2 linked regions of the Notamacropus eugenii genome follow. The protein of the gene in region 1 purifies or fractionates together with the protein of each later gene. This does not show direct contact. Links are inferred from orthologs where the notes say so. Each region holds a gene or a part of one and is shown on either strand. Other genes may lie near its edges. The genes, in order: EYA4 and DCTPP1.

What was found.
Region 2: the proteins of EYA4 (region 1) and DCTPP1 purify together in Homo sapiens (affinity purification with mass spectrometry; 3 studies listed by BioGRID and IntAct, with this or other methods). This does not show direct contact. The link is inferred for Notamacropus eugenii from reciprocal best matches to the Homo sapiens genes EYA4 and DCTPP1.

What each region holds. Positions count from the first base shown.
Region 1 is NC_092873.1:218,976,777-218,984,693, forward strand, and holds the start of EYA4 (protein phosphatase EYA4), read left to right. Parts: upstream 1-4,896; 5' UTR 4,897-5,522; intron 5,523-5,825; exon of another isoform or gene 5,826-5,951; intron 5,952-7,917. UniProt on the Homo sapiens protein: Tyrosine phosphatase that specifically dephosphorylates 'Tyr-142' of histone H2AX (H2AXY142ph). 'Tyr-142' phosphorylation of histone H2AX plays a central role in DNA repair and acts as a mark that distinguishes between apoptotic and repair responses to genotoxic stress.
Region 2 is NC_092874.1:378,218,084-378,225,490, forward strand, and holds the start of DCTPP1 (dCTP pyrophosphatase 1), read left to right. Parts: upstream 1-4,338; 5' UTR 4,339-4,482; coding exon 4,483-4,592; intron 4,593-5,594; coding exon 5,595-5,705; intron 5,706-7,407. UniProt on the Homo sapiens protein: Hydrolyzes deoxynucleoside triphosphates (dNTPs) to the corresponding nucleoside monophosphates. Has a strong preference for dCTP and its analogs including 5-iodo-dCTP and 5-methyl-dCTP for which it may even have a higher efficiency.

The sequences.
Region 1 (7,917 bases):
TAGATCATGAACCCATGTCCTATCCATTAGTTGTTGGGTATGGTGTAAGAAGGTATTCTAAACCATATTTCTACCACACACTATCTAGTTTTCCTCAAAGTTTTATTGGATAGATTAGTCTTACCCCAAATAAGTAGGTGTTCTTTAGTTTGTCAAAAACTGTGCTACTATGTTTTCTCAACCTTATTTACCAAAACTCTGGGACTCATTGTCTTTCTGTTTTTTTAATCAGTACTAAATAGTTGTGACTTGTTTTTAAAAAATAATTTGAGATCTGATACTGAAAGACCTTCTCTATTCATACTTCTTTCAGAAAAAAAAAAAACACGTCTTTTGAGATTCTTGACCTATTTGTTCTTCCAGATGAATTTTCTAAGTATTATATCCAGTTCTGCAAAATAACCCTTTAGTAGTTTTATTGCTGTGACCTTAAATCTGTAAATTCATTTAGATAATGTGATTTTTATTATGTTATCATAGACTAATGATGATCAGTTGATTTCTCTTCAATAATTTGTTTATTTCTGTAATGAGTACAATATAGCTTAAAAAATAAAAAAAAAACTGAAGTGGCAACCTCTTAAATTAAAAAAAAAAATCTATCTTAATCTGTATAATCTCACTAGAGTTCTACCTTAATTTCTTCTGCTTTCGAATTTTCATGCGGGGCTTGAAGTTAAAACTATATCATGCTTACTTTAATATTTTAATATATCTATAGTTTCATTCCTGGAAGTATTCCCTACAAGAATATAAATCACAACCTATCCATACCTATCTATCCTATGTGACTGTCATCCATATCCCCCTATAAATTCACTGTGTGGGTATACTCAATACTATATTCTAAAGCAAGAAAATTATGGAATTGACTTTCTTGAAGTTTTTATTTCACTAGTAGTAATAATACTTATGAGATATTGTTATTATTATTATGCATCTTTAAGGAAACTACTATAACAATTAGTTGAAATATTTTAACATTGGAATAAAATTGTTCTCTATTTGCAAATTTTTCATTATTACTTGCATATCTTGGCCAAATTGTTATATTTCTCCAAATGTATTAGTTTGGATAAATATAGTTAATATCACATGCTACAATTTGAAAACAGGATGGATATTCCTGCTACTGAAAACCCGTTTTTTTAATAAAAAAAAGCACAAAAATAATCAATGGTATCATATATTTTTATTTGTATTATACTTAATTGTAGACTTTTATTTTCCCCAGATTCTGAGTCCTGCTCCCCCAGCCCCAATTACAAGGCAATAACACCCTGCAAAATCTGAAAACAAAATGAGATCCAAAGGTTAAGGACAACTTGTAGCTGAAATTGGTTTATATTAAGAATGCACTTATGGATGTTTTCTGTAATTTATAAATAAACCTTTCAAGTACAATGAGGAAGTCATTTATTAAATTAGTGTCACTTGTATGATTTTTTGATTCTTTAAAGCACTTTAATTTCAATTACCCATTTTCCTAAAGATGATTTATTTTAATGATTAGGCTTCAGTCTTCAATATTGGATGAGAGCATACAGCCATATTATTATTTCATGATAAAAGCAGAGACCAGATTTGAAGACATTTGGATGTTTTAGTTACTTTTAGAAATAGAATTCATTAACTTAAATTAGCAACCATCTATAATGATTTAATAAGGAAACTGAAACTGGTGTTAGGGGGATTGGTTCAGGAAAAATGAAAATATGAAACATCAGGAAGATTTACAACTAATAATGCTGACCAAGTAACCTGGACTTAAATTTTTCACAACATGCAGAAATAAAGGACATATAGTAGAAGTGAAGATGGGAGATGGAGGGAAGAAGTAAAGGAAGATATTAATTAGGAATATACAAAAACATTTCACCTCATGAGTGAGAAGTAGAATTAATGGAACCTAAAAGGGAAGAATTAAAACTCTATTACCTCTCCTTCCCAACAAATGCACACATGCATTTAGTGCAGTTTTGTAATTATACAAGAAAGCCACATACTGTTTCTGAAAGCAGGGTCTTTTCTAGACAAGTCAATTTCAGAGAATGCATTATGGGTTATATGAAATTCATATATGGACAGTTATTTTGAAGTTAGAATTCATGATAAATTTGGTTTTTGAACTGTGAATCATAATCTATGATCACAGCTCAAAAATGAAAGGTTTTTTTTTTTCTATTATGAAAATGGTGTAAAAATGATTACCATATCAAGCAATAGCCACAGGCAGTAAATAAACCCCTTAAAAAGAAAAAAAAACTTTTTGAAATCTAGAAAATCAAAATTCTAAAAGGAATACTTTGCGGGGGCGGGGAGGATAACATTGACTTTCTCCTCACTAGAAGTCCAGAAAGGTGACTATACAGAGAGGTATTATAGAGGAAAGATCAATGAATTTGAACTTAGAACCTCAATTGAAACCCCCAATTTACTACTAGTACTTCTGTGATATTGGGCAAGTCACTCTCTGACCCTTAGTTTCCTTTTCTATAAAGTGAGAGAGTTGGATTAGATGGCCTCTAAGGTCACTTCCACTTCTAAACTGATGACTTAGGATCTTATGATTTTTTTCCAGCTATCAATGGATAGTAGCACTGTCCAAATTATCTTGTTTAGATGCAAAGCAATAATTGAACTAATACATTTAAAATGCTCTTAGAAGCTAAGGAAAATGAGGAGGAAATTTCCTGGCCAATAATACAATGGTGTGAAAAGTATAAACAAAACTAATCTTCATGCACTGTACTATTTATCTATCATATCATTAATCTGTAAGTTTACTCTTAAAAGGAATAGGAGTGGTGGCAGAAGGGAAGGATATTGAAGAGTATGTACTTTTTTAAAAAATTTCTAAGCCATAGACATTGAACAAATTATTTTAACATCCATGACTTGTATATTCAAGTGTGTCTCAAGTTCTATTTGTTTCTTTTATAGGAAAGACACTGGTAGTAAGAGACCCAACACAGGGGGAAATTAATTTATCTGTCTCAATGTTAAGTTTAAAAAAAAGTTAATTGTTGCTTCAACAGATGTTCTTTCATATAGGTATATTTAGGTAGGAAAACAATCCTGCCAATCATAAAGTTTCTCTTTTTGGTCATCAAAACAAAGAGACTTCCAGACATCAGAGGGGAAAGCTAGATCTGGGGCATGGCCCTGAACATATACTCATCTAAATCAAATTCTAGCTAATGTCCATATCAGGAAAAAAATGATGAGCAGTTTCAGTAATTTTTCTATTCATACTTCAATTCCTAAGTCTAAATATTTGTTTAATAAGGCTCTCTGCCTTAATCAGAAAGGTTAGGACAACTTCTTGACTTCTGTTTTCCTCATGTGAATGTCAGGAAGATGAGAGATAGACAGACAGACAGAGATAGATGGATGGATGGATGCACGGATGAATGGAGAGATGGATAGATGCAAATGCATTTTAATTTATGAATGGTAGCTTTCATGGCAGAAGCTTATTAAAATAAATAATCAGGTTTGAAAAGAGATGGGGACACGAGCATAGTTACTAATTGTCCTATGAGGCTTTGCACAGGCTTTGGTAAATTCTATCTATATGTAGATACACATTCAGAAGTATCAAGTAAAAACTGTTGCTTCAGCAAGATGCTTGTAAAATCATTGAGCTGAGTGAGCTGGCTCTGGAATCCAATTTTGGCTGGGCTGACCTTTGACATCTGCCCAGGATTCCCATACCTGCCCACAGAACTGAAGTGGCTCAATCCCTTCTGGTATAGCACATTCCAAAACTGGTTGCTCCTTCATTTATTCGTGTCACATAGCTATCTGTCAGAGGCTCATGAATAGCATGGGGGTGGCATTGGGGTGGAAGGGAGGAGAGGAGCAGTTAGGACATGAGGAAAAATCCTCCTATCCAGTTTCCTTTTCCTCCAAAAAGAAAAAAAGACTCCCTTCTCCCCCCCCCCCCGCCCCAACCCCATACACTCGCGGGCAAAATAGAAATAGTTTTGGCAGAAGGGAATGTAGCAGCTTCCAGTGTGTGTGTGTGTGTGTGTATGTGTGTGTGTGTGTGTGTGTGTGTGTGTGTGTGTGTGTGCCTGTGTTGGTGGAAAGGGGAAAGAAGGGGAGAGAGGGGGAGAGGGAGGGAGAGACAGAGACAGAGACAGAGACAGAGAGACAGAGAGAGAGTGAGAGAGACAGACAGACAGACAGACAGAGAGAGAGAGACAGAGAGAGAGAGAGACAGAGAGACAGAGAGAGAGAGAGACAGAGAGAGAGAGACAGAGAGAGAGAGAGACAGAGAGACAGAGAGAGAGAGAGACAGAGAGAGAGAGACAGAGAGAGAGAGAGAGAGAGAGAGAGAGAGAGAGAGAGAGAGAGAGAGAGAGAGAGAGAGAGAGAGAGAGAGAGAGAGAGAGAGAGAGAGTGTTAGGGGAGGATCCTGTAGAATTCCTCAAGTAGCAGGTGGGGAAGGGAAATGTGGTCCAAAGAGTTCTTCCAATACCCTTGGGAAAGGGAGGGGGGAGTGTGCTGCCTCAGGTAGCAGTAAAGTCTTGGCCAGGGCTAAGGAGAAAGTTAGGAGGTATGTCAGAGCCTTGCCACAGCTTACTCCCACGGTCCCCGACATCATAGTCCCATCGGCTCCCTACTCCAGCATGCCACCAATGACAGCGTTCAGCAGCCTGAACTGAAATAAGCAGAATTCAGTCTTGTCCGCTCGGTTTCACCCCGTAGCCTCCTAGACTGCAGCCTCGGGCTCCAACATCTCCCCCTGCCTTTTTGCAGCTTTGTTGTGCGGCGGCAGCCTCCTCGCTCAGTGGCAGCAGCAGCGGCAGCAGCGGCGGCGGCAGTGGCGGTGGCGGCTGTAGTCAGAGACAGGGGCAGGGGCAGGGGCAGGGCAGGGCAGGGCAGGGGCAGCTGCTGGAGTAGCAGCGGCGGCGGCAGCAGTAGCGTCAGCGGCAGCGGCAGCGGCAGCTCCAACCACCCGGGCAGGCGCCGCCTGCCACCGCTCCCCCCTCCGCACAAGTGCGAAGCAGCTCCTGCTCCAGGGCACGCTCCGCTTACCGCTCCCAAGGGCTCCCTCTCCTTTTTAAACTCAGAAAACACCACCCCCGCCCAGTGCCTCCCCCCACTCCAAACGATTAATAGTCCTGGAAACTGGGGAAGGGCCCCCTCTCCTAAGGACAGAACGAGTGTTTGACAACTCTACCAGCGTGGGGGCTTTCTCTTTGCTTTTTTGTTTTGTTTTGGAAGTCACTCAAAAGTTTTGGCCCTCTTCCTTTCTTCTTCCCCCGCTGAGCCTAGACTTCTCTCACGGACCCCCACCCTTCTCTTCCACTTGTGTACTCTAGTTATTGGGGGGTGGTGCGGGTAGCCGAAGGGGATGTCCTGTTTTCACCAGAGGAACAGCAGAGGGGAAACTTCGACATCAAGAAGGGAGGAGAATAAATAAATAAATACATACCCATACACTCTATATACAAACGGATCAGAGGCTTAAAAAAAAAGTTAAAAATTGCGGCTGTCGGGGCACCAGCAGGGTGAGTATCCCATCTTCCTAACTCCCTTAAAAGTCTGGCGATATTTTGCTTTTTGAGTCATTGTTCTTCGCTTGTGATTAGACCTTAACTCTCCCTGAGAAAATGTACCCAGCTGAGGCCGAAAGCTGCCATTGGGGGGGGAGGGGGGGAGAGAGAAAAAGGGAAAGGGGAGGGAGGTGAGAGAGAGAGAGAGAGAGAGAGAGAGAGAGAGAGAGAGAGAGAGAGAGAGAGAGAGAGAGAGAGAGAGAGAGAGAGAGAGAGAGATCAGTAACTTGGGGGGGGGGGGCGGTGAATGGTGGAGGGGATGGTTCTTGCACTATGTCCGAGTGATCAGCCTGAATCCTGTTTTCCTGGTACTTTGTGGACTTTGAACTCTGGTGTGGGTACCGGGGCTGCTTCTTCCCTGCCAAATTTTCTGCTCCACTTCAGGTGATGTCCTTCTCTCGCTTGCTCAGAATTCTATGCGTCTCGCCACTTCACTGGAAGTCTTGTTACAGGGGGTCAGGGAAATCCTTTGCGAACCCTAAGCTAGGTCCCCGCGGCCGGTTCATTGTTCCTTCCTCCTTTACTTACCTGTCCTCGTCTCCACCGTCCAATAATAATAATAGTAATGACAAATCCTGATGGATGAGCCTTCGTCAGGTTTACTCTCTTTCTCCGATTGTTTTAAATTTATATTTCGAGGATACACTTAAATTGTGCAGGCGTAAAGATGACCCATAGTTATACCCAGATGTAGGAGCGTTGGGGTGTGTTTGTGTTTGTTTGTTGGGGTGCATGAACAAATGCAGCAGTTTCCTTTTAAACTGGAGGCACAAACAGTTTCCAATGAATTTTATGAGCACGTCTACCATGGTGTTCCGTATTTAATAATTTTTTATGTGCCGTGGAACGAACAGCTTGGTGAGTTTGCCAGGATCCGTGAAATTAGCCTAGAGTTGTCAGAATTACACTGGCTGTCTATGGATGCAGTAGAAAAATTACAGTTCTCCCCTCCCACCCCCCAACAAATACAGCGTGACTATAGAAGGAAGAGACAAGGTCTTCGGTACTAGTCAAGGGGGCTCTCTAAGACTATACTATTTTTCTTTTTCGGTGTTGTTTAGTTGTATTTGCAAGTTGACAGTTTGCATGGTTCTTTAATCTGCGCATTACAGCATCCAAAAAATCTTTACTTAGTAGCACTTAAATATTATCCTTTCTTTGTATACAAAACTCAGAACAGCTTGGAGTTATTAGGAGAGTTTACTGATGGAATCTCAAGGCAGAGCAGATGGGCAAAACAGTAAGGGAGAGTTTAATTTTTGCAGACTATTAGGGAGTAGATTCTCCGTGCGTTTTCCGTATCTCCTTGCCCTGAGGGAAGAAAGTTTGTGCTTCTCAATGATTGCGTGGGTTTGCTTCCATTCATACATTCTTTCTCTGCCTCCTTCCCCTCTAAAGTGCGGGAGAAGATACTCAAACCATTCAAGAATACTAGCTAGGGAAGGTGTAGGTTCCCTTCTTGCCTGGTGCAGTATAGAAGTGCAGACATGTGTTTTGGTTTCAAGACAGTTCCACGTGGAGGACCTCCGTGTGCGTGTGTGTTGTGTACTTGATCTGTAAGGAGGTAACTGGATTCTTCGTGTTCAAACCCAGTGGGCTGTTGGCCATTAATTTGCCTCTCTGGCTGTCATTACAGACACTTCCAAAATCTGATACCTAAGAGCACCAACAGGTTAGATTTCACATTAAGGGCTCATACTTAACAGTTTTCTTTTTCCCTTACCTCTGTCTGGCTCGCACCCTGAGATGAATGTAACTGATCGAAAGAAATTTATCTTCAAGAATATGGCACTCTTATTGACAGCAACTGATTGCATTCTCCACAGGTCTTTGTCAATTTCAGCGTCAAACTCCTGCGGGATTTAGGTGGGAGCTTTAATAACGTTTAGCACAACTGCGTAATGCCAATCGTAGGCTTCTGAAGTTTCATTTAAATTTAGGAGACTGAAAATATTAAAAGGTGCTGGTGCTGGTGCTGGTGCTGTTGTTTTTTAACCCATACGACTCAGGGGGTCGCTAACAAGGATTTTCTTATAATGTTTGATATTGAAAAACAAAAAAATACATTTTTGGTTTTTTGTAGGACGTTACTTCAAGCCTTAAGCGCCCAAACGCGATAATCAGAACCAGATAAAAGACAGGGAAAATATGAAATAAATCTTTAATATTTGCCATAGACGATTCTAAGGAACAAATAACTTGTTAAGTATTTATGTGTATATTTTAGGTAAAAATGAAATATTCAAAGTAAGCTATAGAAAATTAAGGTAAACGGAAATGTGCAGTTTTATACGGGCTGGAATGCCAGAAACAGTGATATGTGTAACTAGGAGACTATTTCTTCTTTATG
Region 2 (7,407 bases), on another chromosome or scaffold:
CAAGCAGCTGGCAGTTTGTTATCAGAATGAGAAGACATTCCCTGTTCAAGGGCAGGAGCATTTTTACAATTGGGAAATAGGACCTTTTAGACAAAGCTGAAGATTCGAGATAACCATATAGAGCAGACTGCAGGTGTCTCCTATCCAAGTACAACAAGCAACTGTTATAACATTGGATCAGACCATCCAATTTTGCTATGTCCTTGCACAGCTTATTACTTTATATACTCCTTCAATAGTGGTTGGAGACTTTCTATTATTGGGCCATCAGATGGTTGGAGAGGGAGATCCCTACAATATTGGTCTGCCAAAATGCTAAAAAATGATTGCAGTTCCTGTTTCTGACACACACATGCAACTTCTCTACCTGGATTTCCTTCAGCTACCCAAACTTAGCATCCTCCATCCCATAAACTTCCTTACTTCTGTCCAAGATACCACTATCCACCCTGACACTTAGGTTTATAACCTCAGTGTCTTCCCTCTTCCTCATCCCCATATCTAATCAGTTACCAAGTCCCATCTATTATCTTCCATTGGCCTCTATGACATCTTTTCCATCTATTCCCTTTTCTTCATTCATCCTACTTTAGGCCAGTTACCTCCTGTCTAGACTATTGTAATAACCTCCTAACTGGTCTCCCTATTCTTCCTTCTCTCTCTAATTCTTCTCAAAGACCTTCAATGGTTCCCAATTGCTATAAGACAAATAACAATCCCTGACTATGGTAATTAAGGCCTTCTATAACCTGATTTACCTTAGATGCTTAATAAATATTTATTGGTTAGAGTAAACCTATCCTTCCAACTTTATTTCATATTATTCCCTTGCATAGACTCTTTGCTACAGCCAGACTAGACTATGACTTGTTCCCTGAACTTGACATTTCCTTTCCTAAATCTATGTTTCTCGTGACTGGAACTCACTTCTTCTTTATCTTAGTTTCTGTTTTGTTGTTTTTTTTTAATCTTCCTTTAAGGTTCAGCTTGGGTTTTATCTATTCCTCAAAGACTTCTCTATCCCTCAAATTACCTTCTATTTACTTACCCATGTAAATGCTATGGAATATTAACATGATTTAATAGAAAGAACCCCTGAATCAGGAAAATCTATGTTCAGATCTCATCTTTGGTACATATTGACTCTGTGAGAAGCAACATGGAATAGGCTGAACTTAGATGCAGAAAGATCTGGGTTCGGCTCCTACCTTAGATGCTTACTACCTCTGTGACCCTGGGGGAATCACTTAGTCTCTTGTGCCTCAGTTTCCTCATCTGTAAAATGAGAGGTCTGGACTCATAGGCTTTCCATTTCCCCAGTCCCTGTCTCTCCAGGGAGTTTCACTACCAAACTTTCTTGGAAGCAAGAAGTCCTGAGAAGCTAGAACAGATTTTATGGAAAGATAATGCAGTGAAAAGAACCACAGGGTGGGACTCAGGAGCCCAGGATACTGGGCCACTAACTCCTCTAGGAAGGTCTGAGGAACCTCCTCTATAAAGTAGTTGTTGGATCATATGGTTCCCAAAGGCCCCTCCCAGGGCTAATGTTGTAGGTTACTAGCACAGGGTATTGAGACTTACATGACTTAGTAGTTATCTTAGAGTGATTTTTGACTTTTGACTAAATGACTCCATCATCCCTCTCCCATGCCTGTAGCCCATCAGTTTCCAAGTCTTGTCAATTCTACCTCCAAACACATCCTTCCAATCTGTCCCTTTCTCTAAACTCACCCAGTCACTTTTTAGTTCAAGCCCTCATCCTCTCTTAGCTGGACCACTGACTAGCATCCTAATTAATTAGTCTTCCTGCCCCTAGGGTCTTCTTTCTCTAGGCCACCGCCATCTAACTGCCTAAATGATATTCCTAAAGCCCAGTTCTGACCCTGAAGCCTCAATTGCTTTTTATTGCCTCCTCAATTCCAGACTCATCTGGCGTTCAAAGCTTTATATGATCCAGAGCCAAGTCATCTTTCTGGAGTGAATTCATGTTACTTCTCTTAATTATAGCCATTCACTACAACAAATGGAATGAGGACTTTCTGAATTCAGGAAATGTTTTAAAAAGTAAGAGACCTGATTTGTTTCTCCTACCCATTATAATTTCTCTATTTGGCAGGAAATGCCTCTCTAAATGAGTGATTATGTATTAACCAAAGTATCTGCTCTTGGAAGGGGAAAAGGAAGCCCATACATAACATGTACTTGTCCAAAAGACATGTACTGGAGACAACTATTCATAGCCAGTGGGGAGTGGGAAGGATGGATTTCTAAATCTGTGTCCAGACTGGAACATCGGTTTTGAAGTTTTCCACTATGGGGTGGTCTGGCAGCTTGAGAAATGTTTTACCAGGCATTCCTTTCTGTGTAAGAAAATTCTTATCTCTTGTGTGTGTTAGAGACATCTCCTGCTTTTAAGAAGGTTCCTGGAGGGTGATTGGTGGGGAGCATGATGTTATCTGCTATTTCTGCTTCCAGACATCCTTTAGGATCTCTGAGCATAGCAGTTGGTTGAAGGACAATACAGGCCTGGAATATTTCCTGATTTACCCAAGGTACAAAATGATATGGAGAGGGGACAAAGAGAAGGTGATTGGATCACAGTTTGCAGGAAAGGAGTAGTGTAAAACAAGGCTGGAAGGAATTTCAGGCCAGGTCTTATAAGGCTTTAAAAGCTAAAGAGAAGTGTTTGCTTTTTATCCTCAAGCCAAAAGGAAGCCCCTGGCCTGACAAGGCAAGATCTGTACCTAAGCAAAATCACTGGTAGTAGTATGGAGTATAGACTCTAGTGGAGAGACTTGAAGCAGAGGTGAGAAGGGCCTCAAGTAAGGTTCATTGAGCAGAGAGAAGGGGTCATATTTGAGAGATGTAGAAGGAGAAATAGCAAGATATGACAACTGACTAGACATAGGGGTAAGGGAGAATGAGGTGTCAGAGATAACAAGGGAGACTTGAAGAACAGCAGTGCCTCCACCCTCAAAGGAATACATCCAAATGATCTCTGACCCTCTAAAAATGCTCTGTCATTATTAGAGAAATATTAAAATAAAAGCAATTTCGAGTTTCTACCTCATAAACAACAAGGGCCAAAACAGTAAATGATGTATATTGAGGGGAAAAGGCAAACTAAACCACTTCATGAACTTTTACAGCAGTTATGGAGAGCAGTTTGGAATTATACACAATCATTCATATATATATGCATGTATATATGTATACATATGTATATATATGTATGTATGTATGTATACACACACACATAAGGTTTCCAATCTCAATTCAAGTGCCAGTTTGTATAGGCTTTTCCCCATCCTCCCAGTGGTTAATGCCCTCCCCCCTCCACAATTAATTTGTATTTACAGTGCTGTGCATACATTATATATAAATGTACATCATATATTTGTATAAATGCATATTTATGTAACATACTTTAGGTATAAATATATTTATATATAACATATTATATGTACTATTTATGTAACATACTTTATGTATGAATATATTGATTTATACATATATATTATGTATAATTATATATATTATAATATATAATATAATAATAACATATAATATAATATAATATATATTATACATATACATGCATATATGTATATATTTATACATAAAATGTTTCCATACATAGATCATATATTTCTATTATACAGAAATATCTTACGTACATTTCTATATAAATAATGTAATACATTACATACATGTATAAGCATGTAGCACATTACATGTGTTTACATGTTCGGACGATCTTGACATATGTGTGTACGCAGACAACCAGCCTGCATTCACGTGCCTACTACAACCCCACTGGATTCTGGGAGCATGGCTGCAGCCCCTGGCCTCCCAGGGCTCGCCTTCTTCCAGCCCAATGGGGACCAGGGGAGGGGGGCAGTGGCACGGCTGTCTGCTTCCAGGTGCGTTCCTCGCACTCGCAGGGTACGCAGCAGAAGCTTAATAAATGCTGGTTGAACGGTGGAGCTCAGGAACCCTTCCAGGGTGCATGTTTCTTGTCGCCATCTGGTGGCCAATCGAGGACACGCCAGCCCTGGCCCAGTTTTCCAGCTACGGCCTTTTGCGCTTGCGCCCTAGTTCCTGTGTCCCCCGCCTTTCCTTGTTTATCCCTTGGCGGATCGGACCCTAAGGTTTAACGAACGGGCCCTTTAAGAGCTCTCGCTCTAGGGAGCCCACGCCCAGCCCACCTTACCTTAGGCCCCGCCTCAGGAGTCCGAGCGCGAGGCTCTCTGATTGGTCCATGTGTGGGCCCGGGAGAAAACATAAGGTACGTTATTGGCTCCTTCTCAGGACCTGTCCCGCCTCCTCCCCGCTCTCTGCGGCCTGACTTCTCGACTGCGCCTGCGTAAAGGGAGAACGCGCCGCGGGGGCCGGAGCCCGGGAAAACGGGAGAGGGGGAGGGGCCGGGCCGGGCCGGGCGGCTTCACGTGGCTTCGGAGTGAGTGGGGCCTCTGCAGCACCATGCCGGGGGGCAGCGGCCCCGAGGGCGCGGCGGCGGCGGGAGCGGCGGCGGCGGCGGCGGGGCACGATACCCCATTCAGCTTCAGCCCCGAGCCCACGCTGGAGGACATGTGAGATGCGGGCCCCGCTCCTCCTCTCCTTAGTCGGGGATGCTGCCCACCCCATGGGGCAAGATGGCGGGGAGGGGGGCCCTGAGGAGCCCGAGGCCTCCTGCCAGCCCGCAGTGCCCTGCCCGCTGGAGAAAGCCCAGATTCCGATTATTTCGGTGTTAGTATTAGCAGCTCCCAGGTGAGGAAACACCCTCCACCAGTACAGGTCAGCACCGCCTCCGCAGCGGCCAGCCCCAGGGGTTAAGTGACTTGCCCAGGGTCACCCAGCCGGGGGACTCGAACCTGTCTGTCCTGGCGCTTCGCGTGCACAAAACCAGATGACAAAACTCGGGCTGGCACAGGCGCCGATGTCTGCCCCGGGCCCCGGCTCGTTAAGCGCTGGCCTGGGAGGGGGGGAGCCGTGAGAGAGATGGGGCGCCCGCCTGACGCCCCCCGCGCCGGGCCCTGTGAGGCCCCGGTGCAGGGTACGTGGGAGCGACGGTGACGATGGCGAAGGGGGCTTCGTGAACTTCAGCTCCTTTTGCTAAGTGCCCGGAGCCTCAGTTTCCCCATCTGTAAAGTGGGCGTGGTGATCCCCCAAGAGGGAGCCCCTAGTGGACCGCTCGTGGCGGGGGTTCGGTCACTTCCGATTCTCCTGACCCCGTCTGGGGTTTTCCTGGCAAAGACACTGGCATGCTTTGCCACTTCCTTCCCCAGCTCGTTTGACAGATGAGGAAACTGAGGCAGACAGGGTGAAGTGACTTGCCCAGGGTCACACAGCTAGCACATGTCCGAGACTTGGATCTGAACTCAGGAAGATGAGTCTTTCTGACTCCAGGCCTGGTGGAGGACACCACCTACTTTCCTGGCCTCAGTTTACCCCTCTGTAAAATGAGGGGTTTGTAATAAATTCTCATTTAACATCCCTCTCAGTTCTGACAGTTAGTTCTTGCTGCAGGGCTGGCCCTTCTTCCGACCTAGTCTTTGCCTCTCCTACCCCTTCCCCTTCTTTCTCCCCTATAGCCGTCGCCTCCAGACAGAGTTTGCAGCCGAACGAGACTGGGACCAGTTTCATAAACCTCGGAACCTCCTCCTGGCCCTCGTTGGGGAAGTGGGAGAGCTGGCAGAGCTCTTGTGAGTAACGGGAATGGCATAGGGATTGGGACAGGTGGGGAAGAAGGGATGCACTGGGTCCTTCCTATCTTCCCTTTCCACCTTGGCATCACCTGCTCTGTTGGGATGCTGGTACTGGATTAATCTGTGAGTTTTTATCTTTGCACGGTGGTGCAGTGGGGTATGTAAAGACTGACAAGGCATAGGCCATGCCCTTAAAGGTTTACAATCTAGTAGGGAGAATGAATCAAATATATGTAATAAAATGCTGTCTACCATCAGAGAGAGAACGGATCAACTCTGAATACAGAATGGAGCATACTTTTTTACTTTCTTTATTTTTCTCCCCTTTTTTTGGACATATGTTTTCTTTTGCAACATGGCTAATGTGGAGGCATGTTTTACATAACTTCATATGTAGAATTACTATCAAATGGCTTGCCTTCTCAAAAGGGGGAGAATTGGGAGAGAGAATTTGGAACTCAAAATTTTTTTAAAAAGCATGTTAAATTTTTCTTACATTTAGTTGGGAAATATTTAATGAAAATATAAGGCAGAATTTGATAAGAGCATAGGAGAGGTACAAAGTCCTGTGAGCCAAGGAAGTTTGAGGGATTTTCTTGGCAAAGATTTTTGAGGAGGTAAAGAGCATTCCTGGCTTCCTAGGTGGCATTTGAGCTGAGCCTAGAAAGATGAATGGGTAGGATTTTGCTAGGTGCAAATGATGGGGGTAGGTAGGACCCCAAATGCTAATAGCATAAGTAAAGGCAGGAAATAATGAGGTGTGTGATAATAATAGCAACTGTCCAATATGACTGAAGAGAAAGTAAAGGAAATTAATAGAAAATAAAGCTTGAAAAGGAGTACAGGGCCATGTCATGGAGCGATAAAGAGTCTTGCTTGCCAGGCTAAGGATTTTGCTCAGAGCCACTAAAGGCGGTCATTAGACCTGTGCATTAGGAAATTACTTCAGTGATGGAAAGAAGGATGCATTTAGAAAGAGGAAGAGCCAGGAGAAAGGGAGACCAGTTACAATATTATAGTAGTCCAGGCAAGAGGTGTGACAAAGGCTTAAGGTGGGATGGCCTAGGGAGGGAGGGAATGGGTGGATGCTAAAGATATTTCAGAAACAGAATGGACAGAACTTAAGAGGCTCATTGTGGAAGGTAAGGGAGAGGAAGGTGTTAAAAGATGAATGAGGAAGTCTTCAAAGACTTGGGAATTTTGAACGGCCATAGTTCTAGAGCAGAGGTAGCAATTGTGGCAGTCTGAACCAGATTAAAATGTAATTGGGAAATATTTAACAAATTAAACCTATAACAGAACATAGATAATTAACATGTGTAATAGGTAATATAATACACTGTGTAATAGTACAATAATTAATTTCTAAGTCAGTGTATAACATACAGGGGTCCTTTGGTTTAGGTGACTTGTTTCTCTTTGAGTTTGACTCCATGCTTTTGGAGGACTCATAATGAAACTTGCCACCGACGTCCTGATAAAGAGATAATGAATTCCAAATGAAGAATGATACATTTTTTGGACAAGGTCAATGCAGGAACTTCTTTTTGCTTGACTGTGCATTTATAGCAGTTTTGTGTGTGTGTGTCTGTGTCTGTCTGTTGCTTTCTCAGTGGGGTGGGGGAATGTGAGAGATTGCATCTTCATTTGAAAATAAAGTAAAATTTAATTAAAAAGACTATGGTTTCAAGTCTGCGTC